2 linked regions of the Lepisosteus oculatus genome follow. The protein of the gene in region 1 interacts with the protein of each later gene in a pairwise test. Links are inferred from orthologs where the notes say so. Each region holds a gene or a part of one and is shown in the gene's direction. Other genes may lie near its edges. The genes, in order: arhgef2a and rpp25l.

Evidence for each region.
Region 2: the proteins of arhgef2a (region 1) and rpp25l interact in binary tests that used the Homo sapiens proteins (3 or more experiments, as listed by UniProt). The two-hybrid records come from large-scale screens. The link is inferred for Lepisosteus oculatus from reciprocal best matches to the Homo sapiens genes ARHGEF2 and RPP25L.

The regions. Positions count from the first base shown.
Region 1 is NC_090722.1:6,216,609-6,224,355, reverse strand, and holds the start of arhgef2a (rho guanine nucleotide exchange factor 2), read left to right. Parts: upstream 1-4,631; 5' UTR 4,632-5,225; intron 5,226-7,747. Other genes in the region: death-associated protein kinase 2, read left to right, coding at 719-808, 1,249-1,335, 1,461-1,541. UniProt on the Homo sapiens protein: Activates Rho-GTPases by promoting the exchange of GDP for GTP.
Region 2 is NC_090705.1:20,166,575-20,174,740, reverse strand, and holds the start of rpp25l (ribonuclease P protein subunit p25-like protein), read left to right. Parts: upstream 1-4,975; 5' UTR 4,976-5,105; intron 5,106-6,931; 5' UTR 6,932-6,949; coding exon 6,950-7,540; 3' UTR 7,541-8,166. Other genes in the region: dctn3 (dynactin subunit 3), read left to right, coding at 577-635, 2,128-2,187, 2,927-3,016. UniProt on the Homo sapiens protein: May be a component of ribonuclease P or MRP.

The DNA.
Region 1 (7,747 bases):
GTTCTTGTTGTTCAGGCGGCAGGCTGGCACTCGCACCCGAGGCTGGCAGAGCCCCCCCCCCCCGAGAGACAGGGGGTCCTGGCTGCTGGGAGGTTGTGGGCCAGTCGCTGCTGTCCCGCTGTCCCGCTGTCCTCTGCAGTGAGGGGCCTCAGGAACTGGTTCCAGTTTTGGCCCCCTGTGGGAGCACACTCTGGAGCCAGGCGTGGGCACAGCTCCGCTCTCTAATAATAATAATAATAACAATAATAATAATAATTCTAATTCCTTACACTTACATAGATCTTTTCTGGACACTCCACTCAAACTCTCAGTGGGGAGGAGAGCAGAGCGATGAAGCCAGTTCAGAGAGGGGGGTTATTAGGAGGCCCTGACTGGTAAAGGAAAGGGGGAATCTGGCCAGGTTGCAGGGATAACACCCCCACTCTTTTCGGGGAACACTCTGGGATTTTTAATGACCACAGAGAGTCAGGACCTCGGTTTTATTTCACATCCGAAGGACGGCACCTTTATTACAGTATAGTGTGCCCGTCACTGTACTGGGGCATTAGGACCCACACAGACTGCAGGGTGAGCGCCCCCTACTGGTCACGCTAACACCTCTTCCAGCAGCAGCCACCCCTCCAGGTACTGGCCAGGCTCACAGGCTCGTGGCTGCTGGGAGTCTCCCTCTCTCCTAATCCCGTCTCCCTGTCCCTCTCCCTGTCCCTGCGCCGCACAGCCGCTGAGCAGGAAGCAGGCGGACAATCGGAGCCGCTCCTCCATCAACATGAAGAGCTTCCGGAGGTTCAACGCGCGCAGGAAGTGGAAGGTGGGTACGGGAAGGCCGCCGGGGCCTGTCCCAGCGAGCAGCGGGGCGCAAGGCGGGGTGCACCCTGCGCGGGCAGACAGACGCGCGGCCACGCGGTTTTCCTGGAGGCCAGCCAACCTGCCGCTGTCTTTGATCTGTGGGAGGAAACCAGAGCACCCAGGGGAAACCCAGGAGGGCTCGGGGAGACTGTACAGACTCTATGTGGGGGTGCCTGTACCCCAGGACCTGAACCTGGAGCCCCAGTGCTGCTCCCCCCCCTGAGGAGACAGCGGCCAGTCTTGATCCCCGCCAGCTGGTCTCTTCAGGGCCTTGTTTAGCTTGGCCAGCGAGTGCAGTTATTATTAACGACTGAGGAGCTGTCGTCTGCCGCCACCTGGTGGCCAGCGGGGGAACTACACTGCGGTTCCTCACACTCACCCCCTCTCTCTCCCTCTCGCCAGGTCTCCTATAAGATGGTGTCGGCCTGTAATCGACTGTGCCACCTGCAGCTGCTGTGCAAGAGCACGGGGAAGGAGGACCAGGAGCTGGTAAGGGGGAGAGGGGATGGGAGGGGCAGAGAAAGGAGAGAGTGGGGTGGGACAGGAAAGGCAGCAGGGGTGGTTGTAGGGTAAAAGAGGGGTGCTGACTGTCCTGCTTCTGCTGTCCACCTCAGAGACAGTGCGAGAGTGACCAGGAGGACGTCCAGACCAAGCCTGCCTCCCTCATCCGCCGGCGCCTCAGCAGCAATTCCTAGGGAGCAACCACAAGGGGGCGCCACTGGGCTGCCTCCAACCCAGTCTGGAGTCCTGGCTGGCAGGTGTGGATGGGCAGAGACTGTCTGGGCCGAGCTCCAGCCCTGGAGGATCTGTGGACCAGAGGGACTACCGAACTTCCTCCCTGAGAGTCATGGGGGGTGCTGTAGGGCAGGTTGGGGGTTTCTGAGCGGACAAGCCCAGAAAACCAGTTATTATGTAGTATTTCTTTAACAGTACCATAGCAAGGAATCTCCAGCCTTGGTCCTGCAGAGCTCCTCTGATCTCTCAGGGTTTATAGGGCCAGCCAGTCACCTTCTTCATCTGGACCAATTAGTGTAATTAAGTAATTAAGAACCAGGCTGGAAGAGGCCAGAGAGACAGTAGCTCTGCAGGAGCAGTGAGGGGGTCTCCTGTATAACATCCGTGGTTCAACATACTGTTGTCAAGGCAGCACATGTGTTAGTGTTTTGTTTCCATGTCTGTGCAATATGGGTTGTCCCAATGAAGGAGTTCAGGGCCCCAGGGACGGAGCTCCGGGGAAAACGGCAGGAAGAGGTTCTGGATCCGGCTCTGGCCCGATTTCTCCCTGCAGCGGAATACCAGGCCAGCCGGCTGTAAAATCCAACATCAGGAGCTTTCATCCACGGCCGAGCAGAACGAGACCGGGGCCGGAGCCGGGTTCGACAGGGGCCTGACTCCCGCGAGTGACGCCCTGCAGTCTGCCGGCTCGTTACTGCTGAAGGGCCGCAGCTTCGTTAGAGGCCAGGGGGACTCGCTGACCCGCCGCGCCTGCTCCGGGCCCAAGAAGACGGTCTCGCCCGCCTCACCCGAGAGCTCCTGCAGGGGGCGCTGTAGCCGGCTCTTCCCCTGGCAGCTGGACGTGAACCGGGTCAAGGACGAGCCAGCGGATCTGGAAGGAGCTGGACTCTTGGGGAGGACGACTCCCAGTTGAAGGGTGTTTTATCAGAGCTGCGAGGGGGCGCTTCCTGTCCCCTGTGCAGGGGAGAACACCAGGCGGCTCTGGAGCTGAAGACAGATCTGGCGCTGTTGTTGGAAAGCAGAACGCTTCCCAGTAGGCAGAGCCGGAGTCAAACTGGCGGACTGGATCTCCTCACGTTCCTGGGGCCTAGAACAGGGGTCTCATGCCACAGTCCCGGGAGCCCCAGGCCAGTTAGTCTGGCAGACCACCCTGAGTCACCTCCTCTGTTTTTAAAGACTGTCCAGTGCAGTGAGCCTGGGGTGTTTATCGCAGATGATCTCTGAGTCAGGACAGCATGGTGCCATTCAGGGCTCGGGGACCCTCTTTAAGGAGTTTGCATGTTCTCCCCATGTTCACATGGGTTCTCACCTGGTGTTCGTGATTTTACCCTGATCTCACTGGGCTTTCCTGCTCTGTACTGTGTTTTTACCCTGATCTCACTGGGCTTTCCTGCTCTGTACTGTGGTTTTACCCTGATCTCACTGGGCTTTCCTGCTCTGTACTGTGTTTTTACCCTGATCCCACTGGGCTTTCCTGCTCTGTACTGTGTTTTACCCTGATCTCACTGGGCTTTCCTGCACTGCACTATGCTTTTACCCTGATCTCATTGGCTTTCCTGCTCTGTACTGTGCTTTTACCCTGATCTCACTGGCCTGTACTGCTTTGTACTGTGTTTTACCCTGATCTCACTGGGCTTTCCTGCTCTGTACTGTGCTTTTACCCTGATCTCACTGGGCTGTACTGCACTGTACTGATCTACTGCAGTGCTTTTGTAACAAGAATGATTCATTTCAGAAAAAGAAGACTTTGTACCTCCTTGCAAAAGCAGGCCTGCCTTGCATGTTTATACAGAAAAAATAATGTTTTAGTTTTTTTAAAGACCTGTGTGCATAACCGATTTTAATAAACAGTTCTAGTTTTCCTCTGTCTCAGACATATTGATATCTGAATTTCATGATGGAAAAACTTTAAAGCCACGTCCAGGAGTTAAACTTCACCTCTGTTCCTCCTGTGAGTTGTAGAAACAGAGACTCTGGTTTCCTCACTGGTGCAGTTTGATAACTGCACAGAACACACAGACCAGCGTGATGTTAAGTGCCATATTTGTCTAACATTATACACCTGGAGTACTGACTCTTACTGGACACACTGTACACACACACACACACCTGGAGTACAGACTCTTACTGGACACACTGTACACACACACACCTGGAGTACAGACTCTTTACTGGACACACTGTACACACACACACACACACCTGGAGTACAGACTCTTACTGGACACACTGTACACACACACACCTGGAGTACAGACTCTTACTGGACACACTGTACACACACACACCTGGAGTACAGACTCTTTACTGGACACACTGTACACACACACACACACACCTGGAGTACAGACTCTTACTGGACACACTGTACACACACACACACCTGGAGTACAGACTCTTACTGGACACACTGTACACACACACACACACACCTGGAGTACAGACTCTTTACTGGACACACACACACACACACCTGGAGTCCTCACTCTTACTGGACACACTGTACACACACACACACACCTGGAGTCCTGACTCTTACTGGACACACTGTACACACACACACACACACACCTGGAGTCCTGACTCTTACTGGACACACTGTACACACACACACACACCTGGAGTACAGACTCTTACTGGACACACTGTACACACACACACACACCTGGAGTACAGACTCTTTACTGGACACACACACACACCTGGAGTGCACCCCCACTTCTCTGCCCCCTCTCTTCCCCTGCACCCCCTCTCCTCTCCTGCACCCCCACTTCTCCTGTGCCCCTTCTCCTCTCCTGCGCCCCCACTTCTCCGCCCCCTCTCCTCTCCTGCACCCCCACTTCTCCTGTGCCCCCTCTCCTCTCCTGTGCCCCCACTTCTCCGCCCCCTCTCCTCTCCTGCACCCCCACTGATCTCCCGCCCCACTCCTGTACAACAGCAGGTGAGAGTCGCGGACACGTGGCCGCCGATCTGGAAACGTGACGTCGCCTCTCGCGCGCGGCGCTGCCCCTGATGAGCTGACTCGCTGACCCACAGAGGCGCGCGCGCACACACACACTCGCCGCTCAGCCGAAACTCCGGAGCGCGACGCTCTCACGCTCCGGCCACAGGTGCAGCTCGCGGACCCGACCCGCCCGAGGATCATAGCTCGTGAGGAGGAGGGGGGTCTGTGGAACTGTCTCGCGTGGAGGAATGACAGCGACGGCCGGCGAAGAGCGGACCCGGGAGAAGCGGAGACCCGCAGGTCCGGCCCGCGGCGGCAGGTAGCCGCGCCTTTGTGTCCGGCTGTTGCGCGTCTATCCTCGATTTCTCCGCCGACTTTGTTTCTGGGGATTCTGGCGGCTGACCCGACCTTCTGCTCTTCGACAAAGGGAAAAAGGAGGAAGAAGAGACCAAGGAAAAGAGTTTTGTCTTTTTATTTTATTTTTTTTTTTAAAAAAAAGGGAAGGAAGAGGAGCTCGCGCTCACCTGGCCCGAGCGGCGAGCACCGCAGGCGCGAGACTGAGGCTCGCGGGGGGGAAATGTCCGGAAAACGACATTAAACCCCTGAATCATTCAAGGAGAAATATTCGCCCAAACAGCAAGAACCCGGAGAAAAGCGTGACTTCTGGACGGAGACGGAGCAGCCGTCACTCACTCGGGCTGTAAGTCTGTTGTTGCTGGCGGGGGACGGGTCACGGCGCTCTCACCCTGACGGGTTTATAAGCAATTAGGCGAGTGAGCTTTTTATTTCCTGATTGGAATTCATTTTGAAACATAGCCACTTCATCACCTTTATCACCTCTGTGTCTTATTTTGCTAGATTAGAAGCCTAAAGCATTTTAGGGTGTGGAGGAATGTGGAAGTTGTTTTTCAAAGGATTCGTCTCAATGTGACGATACAGAGGAGCTGGACTGAGTGTCTGTACAGTGACTCTCCAGCTCTGATGATGATGAAGGAGTGTTCATGTGAAGATACAGAGGAGCTGGACTGAGTGTCTGTACAGTGACTCTCCAGCTCTGATGATGATGAAGGAGTGTTCATGTGAAGATACAGAGGAGCTGGACTGAGTGTCTATACAGTGACTCTCCAGCTCTGATGATGATGAAGGAGTGTTAGTGTGAAGACACAGAGTGTTGTATTATTGCACTTTGTCAGCAGCAGATATGAAAAGCAGTTCCGTGTGCCTGGTGTGTGCGTGGCCTGTGGAGACAGTGAGTGTACCGCTGGGGTGGCTGACAGGTTCTGGAGTGTTTGCCTTTTTTAACAGTTTCAGTTCTCCTGTCCTCAGCATGTGGAAGTGCCTTATAAATGTGGGAGTGAGTGTGTGTGTTTTCAGGGTGTGTGTGTGTTTACAATCGACATGTAAACAACAGCGCTGCAAACAAGGCCAGCAGCCAGAGGGGCAGAGAGGGAGAGGAGGAGGAGGAGACTTGTTGACTTTTAAATTTCTTCGCTAAACTAAGTGCAAAGGAAATAGACTCTTAAGGCATGTATAGATTTAACACGACAACCCAATATACAGCAGCCCTGTATACAAAAGCATTATACACTGTACAGTACAAACCAGTTTCTACACAACAACCCAATATACAATCAGTCCTGCATACAGCAACCCTGTATACAACAACACTGTGTACAGTACAACACACTTTCTACACAACAACCTAATATACAATCAGTCCTGCATACAGCAACCCTGTATACAACAACACTGTGTACAGTACAACACACTTTCTACACAACAACCCAATATACAATCAGTCCTGCATACAGCAACCTTGTATACAACAACACTGTGTACAGTACAACACACTTTCTACACAACAACCCAATATACAATCAGTCCTGCATACAGCAACCCTGTATACAGCCGCCCTGTTGACGATCGATCCAGCGTGAGCGCTCTCTGAGAGAAGGAAAGTGAAAGAGAAGATTCCTGCAGGACAGGATCAGTCAGAGTGACACGAGACCAAGTTCAGAGGCGCTGTGCTTCCTCAGCCACTCCATTATCTCCATCACTGTCAGACTGGTTCAACTGGCCACCTGCTCTCTGTGTCTCCACACCTCAGCCTGCACACAGTGAGGTCAGGGTAAGAGCACAGTACAGAGCAGCAAAGCCCAGTGAGATCAGGGTAAGAGCACAGTACAGAGCAGTACAGCCCAGTGAGGTCAGGGTAAAAGCACAGTACAGTGCAGTACAGCCCAGTGAGATCAGGGTAAGAGCACAGTACAGAGCAGTACAGCCCGGTGAGATCAGGGTAAAAGCACAGTACAGTGCAGTGAAGCCCAGTGAGATCAGAGTAAAAGCACAGTACAGTGCAGCGAAGCCCAGTGAGATCAGGGTAAAAGCACAGTACAGAGCAGCAAAGCCCAGTGAGATCAGGGTAAGAGCACAGTACAGTGCAATACAGCCCGGTGAGATCAGGGTAGAGGCACAGTACAGTGAGTAAAGCCCAGTGAGATCAGGGTAAAAGCGCAGTACAGTGCAGTAAAGCCAGTGAGGTCAGGGTGTGGGAGGGTGAGCTGAGGCCCAGCCTCGCTGCCTGTGAGCTGGCGCTCGCTGGCCCATTGTTGCACCGGTCACACCTCCCTCTCAGGAATGTCCTGACTGACTGCTGTGTGGCGGATTTCTGCCCGGACAATAGACACTGTTTATTCTGCTCTCAGAATAAAGAGGGAGAGAGGCAGGGAAAGTCTGAGAGAGAGGTCTAGGAAGTCTGAGGGAGACAGAGATAGATTGAGGGAGAGAAGGAAAGAGGATCAGAGAGAGGGAGAGGGTGAGGAGCAGGGAGAGAGAGGGAGAGGGTGAGGAGCAGGGAGAGGCCTGAGTGTGGAGAGTCAGGTGTGGCTCTTTGGACCTGGGCGGTGTTTCCAGTCAGTGTTGATCCAGAGGGCTGAGTGAGCAGCTCATTGTCAGCGGCTGAACATGCCACCTGAACACCTGTACACACAGCACCTGATCACACAGGCTAAACGCCCGAGCACACCACCTGTACACATTGCGCCTGATCACACAGGCCAGATGTACCACCAGAGAGAACAGACTAAACCCATACAGTGGGCTAAATTCACCACTTGAATTTATAGCCGGAACACGTAGCTGAATGAACAATCAAAGACAGCTGAGCACACAAGGCAACAACAAAGCTGTTGATCGTGTTCTGGAGAGATTTCCTTCATCATG
Region 2 (8,166 bases), on another chromosome or scaffold:
AGGACACTATACTGTAAACGGGCACCGTCCTTCGGATGAGATGTAAAAACGAGGCCCTGACTCTCTGTGGTCATTAAAAATCACAGCGCTTTTCTCGAAAAGAGAACGGGTGTAACTCCGGTGTCCTGGCCAAATTTTCCATTGGCCCTTACCAATCATGGCCTCCTAATAATCCCCACCTATGAATTGGCTTCATTACTCTGCTCTCCTCCCCACTGATAGCTGATGTGTGGTGAGCGTCCTGGCGCACTATGGCTGCCATTGCATCATCCAGGTGGGGCTGCACATTGGTGGTGGTGGAGGGGAGTCCCCATTACCTGTAAAGTGCTTTGAGTGGAGTGTCCAGAAAGCTGCTATATAAATGTAAGCAATTATTAATTATTATTATTATAATCTCTCAAATGTGGAAATACTGTACCACTTCTTGCTTTGTACAGTGTTAGAGGAGAACCCCATGTGTTTTGTAAGAGGTCTTTGTGGATCTTACCCTGGCTGGTTTCTGAGAGGTTGCTCTGTCACTGTTGCCTGTGTTGTCCCCTCTGGGAGTGTTCTGTAACATGCCTGTGTTCTACACAGCTGTCCCTGACCACGCCACCAAGCTGCAACGCCTGTCACAGATACACATCAAACAGCAGGTATGAGCTCCTTGCCGCTAACTCTATCTCTCTCTTGCTGTCTATCAATCTGGGCTCTGATTTCTTTCTCTGTAATAAAGTGGTTCAACAGCAGGTAATCCTCTTTCTTAGGAAAGTGGAAAGAATAGGCTCACATTACCCCTATGAAGAAAGTATTTAAAGTTTTTTGTATTTAACTTAGATACAGTGTGTCTTCATTCACGAACTATCATGATTGCTTTTCAAAGGCAAAATGAACTATTTCTCACTCAATTCCTTTTCAGTGATAGTCTAACCTTCACAGGGCAATTAACCAGATAAAATTGCTTACATATCTAATACTTCTTGTAAGACAGCAAGATGAATTTATTCATTTTCAAGGGTAAGGTGAAATAAAGCCAATGACAAATTTGTGTAAAAATATTGGGGTGGCCAATCGATAAAGGCTTGAAGATTAAATGTATTTTTCTCTGTGTATTCATGCACACGCATTTATTCTATACAGTATCCTCCAGATGTGTTAACACACAATGATAACGGAACAGCAACACCATATGCAGTAAGAGCATAAATTATAGATTGTCTTGCTTAAAATACTTCTGAAAATGATATGGTGTAATTATAATAGAATTGAATAGAGCAAAGTCATACCATACTGGTCATAAATAATTGATCCCAGAAAACACAAGGGTCACATTGCTTTGCATCAATAAGCGTTAATTGAAATAAAATTCAACAAAGCCAAATCCATAGTAACATTATGCTCTTTGCAGCGAAAGCCTCCAGAATTTAGTAGTAGCTGCAGCGGCATCATGGTTAAGGTCAGAGATCCCTTTGAATGCTGCATAGAAACAGTTATCGCCCATTTTGTCAGTATAAAGTCAGTACTTTCATCACTTTCCACTGTAGTGTCAATTATTAAAAAAATTTAAGTGTACTCATAGCCTTAAGGGCAGCAGTCCTGCCAGGAAAAGGAAACACTTGCTACTGTAGATTGTAAATGGTTTAGGTGTTTAACAGTGTGGGTTTTGTGGCTGCCTTTTCTCTGGTCTCTGGTCGATACCTCTAGCCAAGAGAGCCGACGTGTACACTAAGTGGCGTTCTTGTAGCCTTCAAGCAAAGATAAAAGTGTACGAATTTCGACATGATGGTTGAGATCTCCATAAGAGAGTGGAAACGGACGTCCGCAGTCTGGCGACTGGTGCCGTGGCTCTGATGCAAACACAGGGAGATTGTGTGCGAATGTTATATAGGGTTTCTAATGAAGACCCAGGTGGTGCTGATATACATTCTCACGCTGAACTAATGAGAGAGGGGCTGGCTAGAGGGCCCTCTAGTGGTGTACAGTGGGCAATAATAATCTGAGTGAATTTTACTGTCTTTTGGAATTAAAGTAATATTAAAATTACTGTTTTCAACATTCCTACTACAAAATTAAATCCCTTCTCTTTGGTAATCCTGGAATATCATTTGTTTTACCTCAAAACCTCAGTCGTTTTTTTCTTCTCCGCAGGACCAGTGTGAAACTCTATCTGAGGAAGTGAAGAAGCAGTTTGAAGATTACAACAAGATGGTATCCTTCTGACACTACTGCTGCTAGTCCTACTACTTTATGTCTCAAATTGTCATCACATGGAAAATGTGTATCAACAGTGTGGTGCGCATTTTGTATTAACATCTGCAAGTCAGCCAGATGTGAAGCAGACTAAGCCAACTTTCAGTTTCTGTTAATTGACGAATGGGAAACAAGAATAGGAAAACAGTGAATTTCTTTGGATAATACAAATCGCCAGTACATTCCAGTTGTGTTGTAATAATTCATAACACATCAGTTATGTGGTTAACCTTAATGATAAGTGTAGTAAGTGTAAGGCATTTTAAACGATTTATCGTAGATCATTGATATAAAGGAAGAACAGTGTTCTTGTTACAGACCATTGTGGCACTCAACTAGTTCCATCCTCCCACTGTATTTACCCTTTTATCTGATGCTCTTTTTTATATCCATTTTCCAGTTTTAAATCCAGACATATATAATCTTAAATACCCGGAATTTTAGGATTAGTCTTTTATGACGAACTGTATCAGTAGCCTACTGAAAATCTTAATATACCAGATTGTGTGCTCTGGATTTTTTACTGTTGTTGCTTGTTCAGAGAACTAACTAATTAAGCAGGCTATTCTAAATCCATGCTGACTGCCAACTAGAATCCCATTTCCATTTAGATGTTCCAGTTGTCATTTCCATAGCCCTACATATAATATAACTAAGACATACTGGTCCACAGTTATGCTCCTTGACTTCATGCCAGATGTTCCTGCTGTCTAAACAATTTTCTCAATGGGACGAGATGTTGAGGCAGCTTGAAAATGCCAGTCAGGTCAAGCCAGTAGTGGAGTGAAGTCCTTGGCCTGGAAGATGCCAGACACACCCTGACTTCAGAGGAGAGATGGATCGCCAATGGAATCTCTTACCTGTTTCACCACATGCCTCAGATCACCCTTCTCCCTCCCTTCCTGTAACTCAGAAGTCCCAGAAACCCCTCTTCCCTACACAGTGTATCCAAGATGGATTGACTTAAAGAACCCTTTGACATTATAGACATTGCAGCTGCAGTGTTTAAACAAACATACAATATCCAACTTGGAACGCACTGGTAGTACCAAATACTTTAAGGTTATAACTTCCATCCCATTTATCCTACTGGCACAAAGTGAATATCACGCTACTTACGATATAAGGTGTAGGTTGTTTTTGCAGAGCCTATCCAAATGTTATGTTTCCCATGGTCTCCATGGGGCATAGAGAGGGTTTGTGGACCAGGTGATTTTCATGGAGGGCTCATGAAGTAATCGCATTGTCTGCCACCAAAACCTCCAACTTCTGCTCTGGACCTTCAGTGCTTGTTAGTCCTTATCAACACTTTACAGTCACATAGGAGCTTACTTTCTTCCATGTTCTGTAATGTTACAGTTTTGAAATATTAAAATGAAAAAAGGGTCTCTACAAGAAATGAGAGATACCTGTGTTTATAAAAAGAACACAATAAACTTAAATTATTAAACTACACATGCCGTTTTTGTTTTCTTTCACTATCTAAAGAGATGAGTAATTGGTATTCTCATTTATGCCACACACAGTTAATTATCCTAATTTAATAAGAGTTTCCTAATTTGTCAAAATATAAAAAAGTTAAAGACAAATTGGTTAATCTTACTCATTTGGTAAATAGTAATAGTAAGGTTATTGACTTCTCATTTGTGAAGCATCCCACATCAGTTTCCACATGGTTGGGAAGCTTGTTCTAAAGCCCTAGAATATTTGTGTGTAAAAAGGCACTTTCTGTTTTCAATAGAAAATGTTTCCATTTCCACTTGTGTACTCCAGTCAGTCTTCCATAACTGGTGTACCTCCAAAATTATTATATAGTAATATTGAAATTGTATTTTGATGAAGGTGTAAATGTATGAAGATAATTGGTTATCAAATGTTTCTTGTTTGTCATGTTTATTGTTGAGTAAGACTCATAAAAGAGCCTAATTTAATTTAAAAAGGTGCTGTCTTTTGGATGAGACGTAAAACCGATGTCCTGACCTCTGTGGTCATTAAAAATCCCAGTGCGCTTCTCAAAAAGAGTAAGAGTGTTACCCTGCTTACCCTGGCATCCTGGCCAAATTTCTCATTGACCTTTACCAATCATGTCCTCCTAATAATCCCCATCAATGAATTTGCTTCATCACTTTGTTCACCTCCCCACTGATAGCTGATGTGTGATGGGTGGACTGGTGCACTGTGGCTGCCATCACATTATGCAGGTGGATTGGTGGTGGTGGAGGGGAGTCCCTACCTGTAAAGCGCTTTGAGTGGAGTGGCCAGAAGAGTGCTAAACAAATGTAAGGATTTTTTTAATGCTTTTGTATTGAAATGCAACCAATATGACCTTAGCAGAAAAGAAAAAAAGTTCATTGTGGAGGTGTATGATGCAATGCCATCCTCACACGAATCAGTTCCTTAGTAGTTGATTAAATATTAAGAGCAGTTTAAACAGAAATAAGGGTAAGGAAGTTGAAAGCCTTAACTCCTATAATGCAGATGAGGGACACACTACCCATGAAGTGTGGTGTTTGGAAACTCGAGATTGAGTAGTCGAAAGAAGCAAACAGACCATTTAAATTAGCGCTGAAAATTTAGAGTTTAGCAGACGGGAAGAGCAGCAGGCACAGTATTCACAAGAACTGAGTAACCACTTAGTAGTAAACGCCCGAACACCAACACCTGCGCCGCGACGGAAAGGGGTGCGAACTACAATTCCCAGCAGCAACGTTGGTATTTTCCAACGCTTTACAGCAGCTGTTACTGCTTGACGCTTAACAAAGTATTTTTCGGCAATGGTGATGAGCCTTACTGTAGTGTGCTGTTCGAATTAAATGACAGTAAAAAAAGTACTATTTTTTGTGTTTTTTTTAACTACAGCGAGGATCCCTGCCTGTGTGAGTATAAATCTACATCTCCAGTACAATAAGTCCAAAGTGTGATTTGATTGCTGTACTTTTTACGCGCTTTAAGTGCTTCAATAATCTTGTTCCGAACATCAGACTGGGCTGCAGGCTATTGTATCAGTAGTGAGGGATAGATCTGTAATTTATAGCTGAACAATTAGTTACAGAAAAGTGTTGCGACCTTAGGGTCGTGCTGCGTTATTTTATATCAGCACAACACACGACTAAATAAGTTATGAAATGAAATGCTCCGCATATCTCTGTTGCCCTCTAGGTGACGCCCACTGCAGTCACTTAATTTTGTTTTATTAAAAAATATATTGTACGGATGCCAGTTGTCCACAAAGGGGATCTGTATTTTGTGCACTTCTAGTTTCACACTTACCGCGTGACTGTTGCGGACATGGAAAAAAAGAAATGCACTTACCGAATAAACGCTCCACTCCTTTATGTCATGTTAAACGCTTTATCCAAACACTTAATTCATTCACTATTAATATTATTGTTATAGTCCGATATGCACGTCAACTCAATAATAAATGTGTTTACTCTTAATAAATATACACACCTATCGTGTACATAGCATCACTTGAATGTTATATTGCTTTAATCAAACGAGGTGATACACATACTGTTTTTTGACACTGCTGTATCTTTTAAATACCTTGACCAAAATAGATACAAATTTGAGTTAAAAGTAATAACTAAGAGTGAAACACGAAAAAGGGTGTTCAGTTATTGAATTGCAACTTAACAGTGCTTTTAGTCAAGAGTGTAGATCTGTGAAATAAGAGTTGTTGATATGACCGTCATGATGAAAATAACTTCTTTAACAAATTTTGCAATGAGTGCCAAAAACGTTGTCTGTACTATTTGGTCTTTATGTAATGGCACTACTGGTAAAAATAGGAGTGTTACCCTAGTGTCCTGGTTAAATTTCACTCGGGAGTTGCACTATCTGGTCTGTTTAAATGTCCTCCTTAATTGGCTACATTTACTCTGCTCTCCTCCCCACTGATAGCTGATGTGTGGTGAGCGTTCTGGCGCACTATGGCTGCCGTCGCATCATCCAGGTGGATGCTGCACATTGGTGGTGGTGGAGGGGAGTCCCCATTACCTGTAAAGCGCTTTGAGTGGAGTGTCCAGAAAAGCGCTATATAAGTGTAAGCAATTATTATTATTATTATTATTTCAGATAGTGAAGTAATGGCTGCCACACTTCACCCAGGTTGGGCTGCATTCAGTTGCGGTTGAAGTTGGTCCACACCTATATTTACTGCTGTTTGGGTTCTTCTGGATGATTAAAAACGCAGACATTTCTAATTCTTCACTAGCCTTTAAATATCTAAGCTACTATCTAAATTCTGTTTTGCTATTAAGTTAGGTTTTAAACATGGGAAATTTTGCTTTATATTTAACTGTTACGCTGCACGTGTTTCAGCTTTGCTCTAGCACAGACGACAGTGGAAGTTTAAAGATCAAGGAAGGGAGAAAAGCAAATGGGTCAGAAACAACACTCCCAACTTTCACAGAGTTTTTACTGCCGTTTTTGATCCTTCCCTAAACTTTTCACATATGTCCTGCGTACAATTTAGTGTCTTCAGTAGCTTTATTCCATATTAATAGAGAAAATTAATTTGTTACAACAAGGATGAATTTCGGAAAAGGAGGATCAGATGTTCTAATTGGGAACATAAGCATGCAAGACCTTCCTGAAAGCAAGAAACAGTGATGGTCTCCAATAATAGATCATTGTGAATATAATTGTGCTGAAAAGGAAAGGCACTGACAGCCCTGCTCCTTTATTGTCTGTGCAGTTGTGAGGCCGCCCAGGCATGGAGAATTACCGCAAAGCGAAGACGATGGAGCAGCCCTGCCCCTGTCCCTTCCCTGGGCTGCCCGCCGGCACACCTGAGATGAAGGTCAAGGATGGCAGCAAGATCCGCAACCTGATGGGCTTCGCGGTGGGGCGCATGGAGAGCGAGGCCACGCGGCACATTGTGTTCACCGGCTCGGGCAAGAGCGTGGCCAAGACCATCACCTGTGTGGAAATCCTGAAGCGGCGCGTGCGCGGGCTGCACCAGGTCACGCGGCTGCTCTACAGCCGCACGCAGGAGCTGTGGGAGCCGCTGGAACCGGCAGCGGGCCTGGACGGCCTCACCGTGCACAAGAACGTTCCCGCCGTCTGGGTCCTGCTCTCCAAAGACCCCCTGGACGCGACCCAGGCAGGGTACCAGCCGCCCGGCTGCTTTGACACCCTGTGGGCCCAGGCCGCAAGAGAGGAGGGGGCTGCGCAGGAGCCGCGCAGGAAGAGAGGCGGGGGCAGCGGCAGAGGGAAAGGGGGTCGACCCTCCTCGGGAGCTCGGGGGCGGCGCAGCGAGGTGTCGGGGAAAGCGCCAAGTTGGAGGGGCACTCACCACGAATGAGGGCATCCGGACAACTATCCTGAAGACGCCAAGTTCCTAGCCAAAGAGGTTCATGGGAGGAAATCTTCACCAGTTCCTCTAGAGGAAGGATATGTCGATAGCGAGGACAAAGATCAGCAGGAACTTGAATTAGTGGGCATCTGAACTTCGAAGGAAATATTACATGTTTTGTTTGAGAAGCAGAAGATCTGTCTCTGTGTACCTTAGATCTTCATGGACTACTTTCCCATTTACAAGTTTAAATGGACGAGTTAAAAGTGTAGACGGATGAAATTTGTCTTCTGCCTTATTTTTATATGTTGAACAGAGAAGAAGGAATTTATAAGAATGTTTTAAGTTAATTCAAGTGATGCAATAAATTATATAAATACAAACTCAGGTGAACACTTATTTTTTCACTGGATTAAAAGAAGAATTATGAAAAACTTCTGAGTATTTTATTAGCAGAGATATTTCCAATAAAACATATTAATGTTGTAACTTGTCACATGGATGCATCAATGCAATTAATAAAGTTTTCAGGGAAATTACAATGTTTTTGTGGCAGAGGCACTGACATGTTACAGGAGAAAGAGACAAGAGACAAGGCAGTTACTTTGCATTGTTTAAGAGTGTGATTGCAGTGG